Linked DNA regions of Callithrix jacchus. The protein of the gene in region 3 interacts with the protein of the main gene of each other region in a pairwise test. Links are inferred from orthologs where the notes say so. Each region holds a gene or a part of one and is shown on either strand. Other genes may lie near its edges. The genes, in order: ARL6IP1, MAD2L1BP and INPP5K.

The links.
Region 1: the proteins of INPP5K (region 3) and ARL6IP1 interact in binary tests that used the Homo sapiens proteins (3 or more experiments, as listed by UniProt). The link is inferred for Callithrix jacchus from reciprocal best matches to the Homo sapiens genes INPP5K and ARL6IP1.
Region 2: the proteins of INPP5K (region 3) and MAD2L1BP interact in binary tests that used the Homo sapiens proteins (3 or more experiments, as listed by UniProt). The link is inferred for Callithrix jacchus from reciprocal best matches to the Homo sapiens genes INPP5K and MAD2L1BP.

The regions. Positions count from the first base shown.
Region 1 is NC_133513.1:20,243,786-20,248,030, forward strand, and holds the start of ARL6IP1 (ADP-ribosylation factor-like protein 6-interacting protein 1), read right to left. Parts: upstream 2,838-4,245; 5' UTR 2,757-2,837; coding exon 2,721-2,756; intron 222-2,720; coding exon 88-221; intron 1-87. UniProt on the Homo sapiens protein: Positively regulates SLC1A1/EAAC1-mediated glutamate transport by increasing its affinity for glutamate in a PKC activity-dependent manner.
Region 2 is NC_133505.1:52,113,223-52,115,566, reverse strand, and holds the end of MAD2L1BP (MAD2L1-binding protein), read right to left. Parts: intron 1,495-2,344; coding exon 982-1,494; 3' UTR 582-981; downstream 1-581. UniProt on the Homo sapiens protein: May function to silence the spindle checkpoint and allow mitosis to proceed through anaphase by binding MAD2L1 after it has become dissociated from the MAD2L1-CDC20 complex.
Region 3 is NC_133506.1:66,715,682-66,720,084, forward strand, and holds the start of INPP5K (inositol polyphosphate 5-phosphatase K), read left to right. Parts: upstream 1-1,487; 5' UTR 1,488-1,695; coding exon 1,696-1,739; intron 1,740-4,403. UniProt on the Homo sapiens protein: Inositol 5-phosphatase which acts on inositol 1,4,5-trisphosphate, inositol 1,3,4,5-tetrakisphosphate, phosphatidylinositol 4,5-bisphosphate and phosphatidylinositol 3,4,5-trisphosphate.

The DNA.
Region 1 (4,245 bases), on a different chromosome or scaffold from region 3:
TAAGACACACCCACAAATGAAAGCTATATATTAAAAGGCTTTTATTAACAAGAAACACAACCCGTAGTAATCTGATAGTTCACTTACAGAAACACCAAAGAAACCACACCCATGATGGCAGGTGGAAACCAGGCTCTTTCCCATCGAAGGACTCTATCAGCCATCAGCATCACTTCTCCCCATCCTTGCAGCTGTTCTTCCAGACTTGCAGTCTCTGCAGCCTAAATACCGCCAACATTTAAAGCAATTGTTTTACCACTCTCAACATCTTTGTGGTTCACAAAATTCAATTATTTTAAGGCTCCAAATACATAAAAATAACCTCTTAACCAAATTGCCATTTTAAAGCAAGTTGGTATCTGAAAAACTGCAATTGCAAAGATGAAAACCCAATGGTTTTTTTGTTGTTGTTGTTGTTTTCTGGAGTCTTGCTCTGTCACCCAGGCTGGAATGCAGTGGTGAGATGAAGCTTCTGCCTCACAGGTTCAAGCAATTTTCCTACCTCAGCCTCCGGAGTAGTTGGGACTACAGGCACATGCCACCACACCCGGCTAATTTTTTGTACAGATGGGGGTTTCACCATGTCAGCCAGGCTGGTCTTGAACTCTCGATCTCAAGTGATCTACCAGGCCCAGCCTAAATATCCTTTTAATGGTCACTTTTCTGGTCCAAGCACTGGGCTATTCTTTACATACATGATGTAACTTGATCCTTATAGAGAGCCACAAGGTAGGGATAATTAGACTCATTTTACAATTAAAGAAAGTGAGCTCAAAATAGTTTACTTTCTTAAAGTCATACAGGGAATCATGCGGCAGTGCCTAGAGTATTAATAAAAACGAAATTGCTTTAAGTTTGTTTATTTCGGATGGTTAGAATTGATCTGTTTTGTCATCTTATTGATTTAAACCCTTCTAAATCCATTAGGAAAGACTTTCCTGAACAGCATTCAATTTCTAAAATAGCTCTTTGTGTAATGGAATCACTCAGATGTTGGCATTCATTGCACAATTAAGGAAAACTACTTTCACTAAATTAAAGTGGCATATTAGGCTCAATGTATCTCCTCAGTACAGTGTTTCCTACCACTTAGGAGGTCATTCTGGTTATACTTCAAATTTCTCTATGACTCTGACAGCCGAAAGTGGACCTTTAGGATGAGCTAATGTGGCAAAAGCCCTGAAAACTCGTTTTGATACAGGAAGAAAAAATTAGAAGAAACCCAAGTGTTTGTGTTGAGTCTGGATGCAGTGGCTGACACCTATAATCCCAGCACTTTAGGAGGAAGAGACTGGAGGATTGTTTGAGCCTCAAGAGTATGGGACTAGCCTGGCCTGAGACCTTGTCTCTATAAATGTCATTCACTGGGAAGCATGCAAATGACAGAATCTTAACAAAGACACTTCATCTTAACAAAGCCACTCTATCTGTGCCACGCTGACCACTCTTTTGATCTCAATATTTTTGACTTTATTTCCATGCTTAATACTAATGAAAGAAGAGGCTACCTCCCAGCAGTGGGAACTCTGCTGAGCATTTTATATTTATACTTCAATTAATCTTCCCAACAACCCTAAAAAAGGTGCTATTACTATCCCCATTTTAGAGGAGGAAACAGATAAACAGAGGTTAACAGACTTGCATCCAGGAAACCCAAGACCAAAGGCTTTGCTTTCCTTATTGTTATACTGCTTTGCTGCAAAGCAAGAGCCCTAGCCCAGGATTTGTCATTTCAACAGGGCATGAGCAACTTCTTTGTGCTTCAATTAATCCTCTTAAAAGGAACCATGCTGGGAACTATGTTAGAAGGCGTGTGTTTAAAGGAACAAACCAAGCATTTCTAAAAGCAAATATGAAGTGAAAATAATGCACAATCAAAACTGCCCTGAAGTCACGTCATTGGCCAGCACCTGGGCTCTTGGAAGTTCAAAAGCCCAAAATTAAGTTCTTTGGTTCCGTTTTTCATTGCTGGTGTGTGACCTGCAGTCACAAGGAAGGGTAACCGAGAATATGTAAGGGTATCTTTTTTCTGCCTACATGGTGCACTTAAATTCGTAACAAATGAAATTTACCCGCCTATGATACCTAACATCACTGCAGTTCCTTCGGATCCCCGCTTATTACTCTCAAGTTGTTTCCAGTCGTCCTGTGACCCCACCCCCGCCAGACTTCCAAATTCCAGACAAACGCCAAGACATGCCATTGTCTGTTCAGCTGTACCCCACTCTCTCAGTTCCCCACGGTGAGCTCGCAGCCTCCCTGCGGTTTTAAGTTGTAGCAGCTCTAACAGAAATTCTCAGCAGTAGCCTTTTGACCTTCTATCCTTCCAAGCTTTAGGGGGAAAAGAAAGCAAGCACAGCCAGGTTAAGATCAAAGACGGGGAAAGCCGAATACGGCTGGGGCCTGGGCCCCGAAAGCGCTGGAGAGGCCCCAAGAGGCCTTCTGCCCCCTGCGGCACCCCAGGCTAGTGTCGCAGCCCCAGGCCTCCCACTTCCTCCTCGACCCCTATTGGCGGTTAGGAATCACCCGCCCTCCTCGCCCCGTCGAGCACCGTCCCCAGGAAAGGTCAGGGATCGACACCCAGGGCCAGGCATCGTCGCCTGCGCCAGGAGAGAAGGGACGGGCCCGCGGCGGGTGACAGGGAAGAGGCCGCGGCGTTTGAGCCCACGGACGTCCGGCGGCCTCGCTTGGCTCCCGGGGAACAGGCAGCCAGGACTCACCAGCAGGTTGGAGCTGCGATTATCTCCCTCCGCCATCGTCTCTGAGATGCTGTCTCTTAAGCTCAGGCCACCTTCCAGCGAAACCTCCTACCAGGACTCGCACGGCGACCGCAGCGCACGGGAACGCCCCGCAGACCGCTTATATGGGTTGTCTGCCCTTCCCGACAGCCCCCGCGATACTCGCTCCTCATTGGACAGGCTGAGCTCACGCCTCCGGGAAGCCGGACCAACCGAAGTTCAGCGCATGGCTTGAAATCGAGGTCAAAGGAGACAGAGGCGGTGTCGGGCCGAGGGGAGGGGACACGGAGTGGCCAATCAGCGTTCAGAGACTGCGCGACATCCCACCCAGGTCTGTCGGTAGCGGTTCAACGGCCGCCGCAGGGGGCGCTGTCCCGCAATGGTTCCCCAGTTCCGGCCTCCGCGGCCGCTTTCTAACCCTCTTTGTCTGGCTCTCGCAGCCCAGGAGCCTCTCCGAAAAAAGAGCTCCTCGGAGAGATACCGCGCCGCCTGAAGCGGAGGACGCCGGGCCTGCGACACTTAACCTATTCGTGGCCCCTAGGCGACTGGGATCCACTCCCTCTACGGTCCGGTGCCTTCGTCAGGCACCTGAGCCGTTTAGCCCCGATTTGCGACTCGCGAGGTTTTTTTTTTTTTTTTTTTGAGACGCAGTTCCGCTCTTGTTACCCAGGCTGGAGTGCAATGGCGCGATTTCGGCTCACCACAACCTCCGCCTCCTGGGTTCAGGCAATTCTCCTGCCTCAGCCTCCTGAGTAGCTGGGATTACAGGCACGCACCACCATGCCCAGCTAATTTTTTGTATTTTTAGTAGAGACGGGGTTTCACCAAGTTGACCAGGGTGGTCTCGATCTCTTGACCTTGTGATCTACCCGCCTCGGCCTCCCAAAGTGCTGGGATTACAGGCTTGAGCCACCGCGCCCAGCCCTGCGAGGTTTTGAGGACAAATGAAAAGAGCTCTTTGTGTAGATTTTGCTGCAATGTTTCTCTTCTACCCAGTAGAAATAAGGCCTTAGTGGAAAAACCCAGGCCTGGTTTGAGAACGTGTGAAAAATGCACCGCCCTCTAAGTGGCTTATTATACGTGGGTGCTTAAGTTACTTAAACTACGCGCTCCCTTTCCAAAAGGATTTTTTGTTTTTTGAGACGGGGGAATCTCGCTCCATTGCCCAGGCTGGGGTACATTAGCGCGATCTCTGCTCACTGTAGCCTCCATCTCCCGGGTTCAAGTGATGCTCACGCCTCAGCCTCCGGAGTAGCGGGAATTACAGGCGCCTGCCTCCATGCCCGGCCAATTTTTGTATTTTAGTAGAGACGGGGTTTCACCATGTTGGCCAGGCTGGTCTCAAATTCCTGACCTCAAGAGATCCACCCGCCTTGGCCTCTCAAAGTGGTGGGATTACAGGCGTGAGCTGCCGCGCCCGGCCAAAAGGATAGTTCTGATACGACTTTTCTACCATTAGAAGATTAGAAGTCAGCAGCTTAGCAACTGTGTTGAGACACTTGTACAT
Region 2 (2,344 bases), on a different chromosome or scaffold from region 3:
AAATAGCCTCAATCAAGCCTGACAAGGCTTTTTTTGAGACAGAGTCTCCGTGTCACCAGGCTGGAAAGCAGTGGCATGATCTCGGCTTACTGCAACCTCTACCTCCTGTGTTCAAGCAATTCTTCTGACTCAGCCTCCCAAGTAGCTGAGACTACAGGCGTGTACCACCATGCCCAGCTAATTTTTGTATTTTTAGTAGAGACGGGGTTTCACCGTGTTGGACAGCATGGTCCCGTCTCTTGACTTTGTGATCTGCCACCTCGGCCTCCCAAAGTGCTGGGATTATAGGCATGAGCCACCACGCCCAGCCTTTTTTTTTTTTTTTTTTTTTTTTGAGACAAGTCTTACTCGTCACCTAGGCTGAAGAACATGGGATTACAGGTACCCACCACCATGCCCATCTAACTTTTTTGTAGTTTTAGTAGAGACGGGGTTTCACCATCTTAGCAGGCTGGTCTTGAACTCCTGACCTCGTGATGCACCCGCCTCAGTCTCCCAAAGTGTTGGGATTACAGGTGTGAGCCACTGCACCTGGCCAAGCCTGACAAGTTTCTTCAAGTCAAAACAGTTTCAGGAAAATATAATAAGAATCTATTTATATTTAAGTTCATGAGTCACATCCACATTATGTTCCTGGTAAAAATTCAGAAAGAACACAGCAAAGAGCAGAAAGGGCCACCTCCATAGAGTGTCTGTCTATGGACCCATCTTTGCTTTCCAATCCCTAACAGAAACACTGACCCAGCACCCTCTGGGAAGATCAACCTTTGATTCAAAGAGATGTTGTTCAGCAATGATTACAGTCACAGCTACATGCCATCAGCCCACCAGGAAATCTGAGGAAGGAGGCAGACAACCAAAAGGAGAGTTGCTTCCTCTCTCACCAGGAAGCAACTCTAGCTCCAAACTAGATAGGTGATTCAGTGCCACATGGAGAAAGATAATTCAGCCATTGTGTTTTCAGGATTAAGAAGCGCTCATTCACTCGCGGAAGCCTTTAAGTGTCACTGGTGCCTGGAACCAAATGTAGTCTTCCCAAGCCGTGGTTCGGATGGAAGGTCTGCCACATGACAGGGTCACAGTCAGTTTGTGGCCCCGGCTGGGCACTCGATAGTTGAGCTTGGGTCGAAACCAATCTTCTCCACAGTCGCGGTGTCCCTGTGCCATGATGATGGTGCCCATGAGTGGAGGAGCCTGAAGCTCGCTGAAGGCATCAGCCATGAATATGGCTCTGAAGAGATGGCGCAAACAAGCTGCTGTGCTCAGGCTCTGATCCACGCTGTAGGGGGCCAGCCGAGACAAGTCGAGTTCGTAGAACTCCTTGGGGCTTAGGGCATTGCCCCCAAGGAGAATCAGCACTCGTGGTACTAGTGTCCGTGCAAAGAAGTCCTCTAGATGGCTGAGGACACTCTCCAGTTCTGCCAGGGCTTGTTGGCATTTCCTGCTGCTCACCTCAGTGGTGGCCCGAGGTTTCTTCTTCAGCATCTCCTCTGTCTGTAAGGACAAACAATGGTGGGAGAGAAGGATAAGACAAGGAGAAGCTAATGCCCTTTGAAAAGAACCCTGCTGGGATGTGTACATAGACTTACAGGACTAAAGTTCTAGCTCAATGAACTGCCATAGCTAAAACACTGTGTTTTATCAGAGGGCATTATATTGAAAAGGAAAATATATTATTTGTACAAAACCATAATTCTCCCACATTTAGAGGAGCAAACAGTGTTCTGAAGGTGGAGGGCATCCAGATATAAGCAACTAAACAAGAGATTTGATGGCATGACAAGTGATAACAGGAATGAGGATTATTTGGTCTAATAAACATAACTTTGAACTTGTTCTTCCACTTAAATAGTAAACTGAACACATGCTTATTTGTGCTTCCACCTGAAATACTACAAAATGAGAGGAAAGAAATTAAGAAACAAAGAAAGGAAAGAGCAAGAAAGAGAACGCCAAAGGGCAAAAGAACTGGAGACTATACAACACTGGCCAAAGGCAAACACAAAGTTTTGGAAGATAGCAGATGAAGAGGCCGGGCATGGTAGCTCACACCTGTAATCCAAACACTTTGGAGGCCAAGGTGGGCAGATCACCTGAGGTCAGGAGTTCAAGACCAGCCTGACCAACATGGTGAAACCCTGTCTTAAAAAAAAAAAAAAAAAAAAAAAAAAGCAGATGAGGAGTTAAGAGTTCAAGTGAGCTGAATACCAAGTGCTGACAGAAGGGACTCCCAAGGGATCCAAACTGATTCATAGAGCAGAACCCCATAAAGGTTTAGTAATTGGTGATATAGGCACCACAGAGGCTAGAGTGAATATGGGGAAATGAATAGAAATCTGTGTAA
Region 3 (4,403 bases):
GCGGATCACGAGGTCAGGAGATCACCATCCTGACCAACATGGTGAAACCCCATCTCTACTAAAATACAAAAAATTAGCCGGGCGTGGTGTCGAGCCCCTGTAGTCCCAGCTACTCCAGAGGCTGGTGCAGGGGAATTGCTTGAACCCGGGAGGTGGAGGTTGCCGTGAGCAGAGATTACGCCATTGCACTTCAGCCTGGGTGACAGCGAGATTCTGTCTCAAAAAAATAAAGTAGTTCTTGGCCGATCCCGGTAGCTCATGCCTGTAATCCCAGCACTTTGAGAAGCTGGATCACCTGAGGTCAGGAGTTTGAGACCAGCCTGGCCAACATGGTGAAACTGTGTCTCTACTAAAAATACAAAAAGATTAGCTGGGCCTGGTAGCGGGCTCCCATGCTGAGGCAGGAGAATTGCTTGAACCCCGGAGGTGGAGGTTGCAGTGAGCTGAGATTGCACCACTGCACTCCAGCCTGGGCAACAGAGCCACACTCCATCTCAAAAAAAAAAAAATAGTTCTTAACCTGGCTCCCTGGCGCGTGAACCTCAGGAAGCTTGTTTGTAAAACTGCAATTTTTTTGAGGAAAGTGCTGTCAAAGTATTCCCATAAATAACCCCACCACCCAGGAAAACTGATAAAGAACAATGACTTAAAGGAAATCACAGTGAATCTTTAGCAAAGTAACCATTTCACGTTTGGTCTTGAATTCAGACTACATAGAAGCCGTCTGGCCTTGAAAACGGGCCATATGGAAGCAGTGAGTTATTTTGAGGGGGGCGGGGCGACGGAGTCGCGCTCTGTCGCCCAGGCTGGGAGTACCGCGGCGCGATCTCGGCTCTTTGCAACCTCCGCCTCCCGGGTTCAAGCGATTCTCTGGCCTTAGCCTCCGGAGTAGCTGGGACTACAGGCGCGTGCCACCCCGCCTGGCCTTCTCGTTTATTGATGACTAAACTTCTAGGAGTCTAGGAATCCCCAAACGTCCCACATGCAATAGGCAACCCCATCAGTTAGTAGGGCAAAAGCCGCCTGCAAGTGGAGGTGGAGAATGGAGACGCTCCAGGAGCGGCATGGGCGCCACGGGAGTGGGAGATTACTCGCAGCTGGGGAGGCCGGGTTCCAGGCAGGACGGTGGTTAGGCTGCGTGTCCCCACCCCCGGCCCTCGTTTGCCCACTGGGTCTCTGGACGGCCGTGAGCCGGGGCGAAGACAGCACAAGTACCGGACTCTCGGATCCCTCACGAGCGGGTCAGAGGCCGCGGCGGCGGAGCGACAACTTCCGCCGGAAGACGGCCCCTGGCGCGGGGCACGCTGGGAGTCGCGAGGCGGGCGGCGGGCGGCGGGCGGTGGGCGGTGGGCTGGGCGGGGTCCAGTGGAGGCCGCGCATCCGGGCCGGCTGCGGCTGTGTAGCATTGTGCGCTGATGACGGGCCAGACACGCCTCCCTGACGTCACCGAAGCCGTCCTTAGCTCAGCCTCTCGCAGCTTCGCGCTTGTGGAAGAGTCCCGCCTCCTCCCGCGAGCCGCACCACCGAGAGCCCGCGGTGCGCCCGTGGCCCGTCTCTGACTGAAGCCGGGGCGGGCGGTCGGAGTCCGGAAGAAAAACAGTCAACGACAGCGGGGCGCGTGAGACCGGCCGGCCGCGGGGCTGCTCTGGCCGCCAGACGCGAGCTGCCGGACCACCGCGCGGGACGACGGCGGCCATGAGCTCTCGGAAGCCGAGCGGGCCGAAAGGCAGGAGGCTGGGGTGAGGAGGGGCTGGAAGCGGGATGGCCTGCTGGGGCGGATGGCGGCCGCCGACCCCCTCAGGCTGCGGACTGCGGGCTGCTGGTGGGCGCAGCCTTGGAGGCAAGGCTGCAGACTTCCATGACTGCCTTGGGTTCAGGGACGCCCTCACATTCTCCCAGGCCTGTGCCGGGTGGGCTGTGTTGGGCCCGAGCCTCGCGCGCCCCCTAAGCCGAGGCCGCCAAGCTCGTTCCTACTGGGGCGCGATCGGGTGTCGCGGTTGCTTTCTGGAGAGGACCGCCGTGTTGGGTTTGTGAGGTTAGAGACACAAGGCCGTCACCCTTCAGCTCTAGGTTAGGAATCTCGTTCCTACTTTTCTTTTTTTTTTTTTTGAGATGGAGGTTTGCCCTGTCGCCCAGGCTGGAATGCAGTGGCGCGATTTTGGCTCACCGCAACCTCCGCTTCCCGGGTTCGAGCGATTCTCCTTCCTCAGCCTCCCTAGTAGCTGGATTACAGGCGCGCACCACCACACCGGCCTAATTTTGTGTTTTTGGTAGAGATAGGGTTTCTCCACGTTGGTCGGGCTGGTCTCGAACTCCGGACCTCAAATGATCCGCCTGCCTTAGCCCCCCAAAGTGCTGGGATTACAGGCGTGAGCCACCACGCCCGGCGTTCCTACTTTTCATCAGCACATACATCATGAGTTCTGCCTGATTCCACGGTGACCCCTGGAAATCCACAATCAGATTGAGATAAGATCCTTTAGTGAAGTGACTTAGCCTGGTCTCTTGCCAGCTCTTTCACGGGGAACAGCGCTAATCGCCTACTTAGTCTAAGTCATGATGCACGGATTTGCTGCTAATCGTCGGATCTGAGAGTGGGAACAAGAAATCTGGACTTGTGCTCTCCATCCACTTAGAGCAAGTCTGGGAAAATAAGTCTGAGCAAAAGGTCTTTGTTCCTTAAGCCTCTGTCGGACAGCAGGGGGAGATCGTAGACAAATGAAGCACTTAATCTCAGGCCGAGTGCCTGGGAAGGTGGTTTCTGTATGGTGTTGTTTATGCTAATAGGGAGGGACAGGAAATTGTTTTAAACTGGCCAAGAATTTCTTGAAGTGCTTTGGAGAACGTCGACCTCTAAGAGCAGGGTCTGTTGGAGAAGAGATGTTTTGGCCTCATTTGCCCTTTTCTCCCAGTCCCATTACACACCCACTCCCCCACTTCCCCCGCATTGGAATCTCCAACTGCTGCAGGTCCTCCTCCTTACTGTGCGCCTAGCACTCAGGCCAGCTGTTGCTGGTCTCTGCAGGGGCTGTAGCTCCTGTCTGCTCTGTGCTCTGCACAGTCTGACACTGCTTGTAAGGCTGCTGTCAGTATTCCACTAAAGACATCTGTTGGCCTCCTCTGGTCTCTCCTTCCTCTGAGCCTCTGAGTGGGTCCAGTGTCATTGAGGCCCCCGATCACCTAGGAAGTCTCTTGCCTCCCTAAGACTTGTATGCTGAGGTTAAAATTATCCAAGTAAAGACTTCCCAAGAGAGAGTACTCTTTTTTTTCTTTTTTCATGCAATACTACACAGCCATAGAGTATAGACTCTTAAGACATATGCAGAGAAACCTGTTACTTAGAAACTTCTCCTTGGCCAGGCGTGATGGCTCAGGCCTGTAATCCCAGCACTTTGGGGGGCTGAGGTGGGCAGATCACCTGAAGTCAGGAGTTTGAGACCAGCCTGGCCAACATGGTGAAACCCCATCTCTACTAAAAATACAAAATGAGCCAAGTGTGGTGGCACATGCCTGTAATCCCAGCTCCTTGGGAGGCTGAGGCAGGAGAATCGCTGGAACCCAGGAGGTGGAGGCTGCAGTGAGCCCAGATCATGCCACTGAACTCCAGCCTGGGCAACAGAATGAGACTTCATCTCAAAAAAAAAAAAAAAGAAGAAGCTTTTCCTTAGGCTCACTGAAGTACTTGGCAAAATTGATTTGCTCCAGGGATTTGCTAGGGAGGAGAGAGGAAGGCAATATGGTGTTGTTATCTCTTTCATGTTTTAAATTCATCTGCCCTTGTGGTGCTGAGGCCTAGCACAAGGTAAAATCTGAGTCCCCAGGATCTTCCTGGTGGTCTTAGGAACACTTGGGGTGAAAAGTAGGGTGGTAAGTTGCTGACTGAGCCATAGATGATCAAAGTTGTGTGTGGGTAGCTGGAGGAGCTGATGGAGTTAATCCATTCAGCCCCCTGACCTTCCCTTGCCTGACCCGGAAGTCTTGGGCTCCCTTCGGCACCTCTGCTATGTCAGCAGCACCAGGGCTGCCAGCTGTTTACGGCTGTGCGCTTGCCTGGAGGAGCCAGTCTGCGGTGCGGTTTCCTGCTTCAGTGGACAAAGGTGAGGACGGATAGCCCATCGTTCAGTATCCCCATTCCATCCACCAATGCAGAAATCCGCATTTTCCATCACGAGTACAGGGGATTATGGTGACCTGAGCAGGCCTAGACCCCATTTGTGCACTATCTTTGTTTGTTTTTTTGAGACAGTCTCGCTCTGTTGCCTAGGCTGGAGTGCAGTGGCATGATCTCAGCTCACTGCAACCTCTGCCTCCCAGTTTCAAGCAATTCTCCTGCCTCAATCTCCCCTGAGTAGCTGGGATTACAGGAGCCCGCCACCATACCCAACTAATTTTTGTATTTTTAG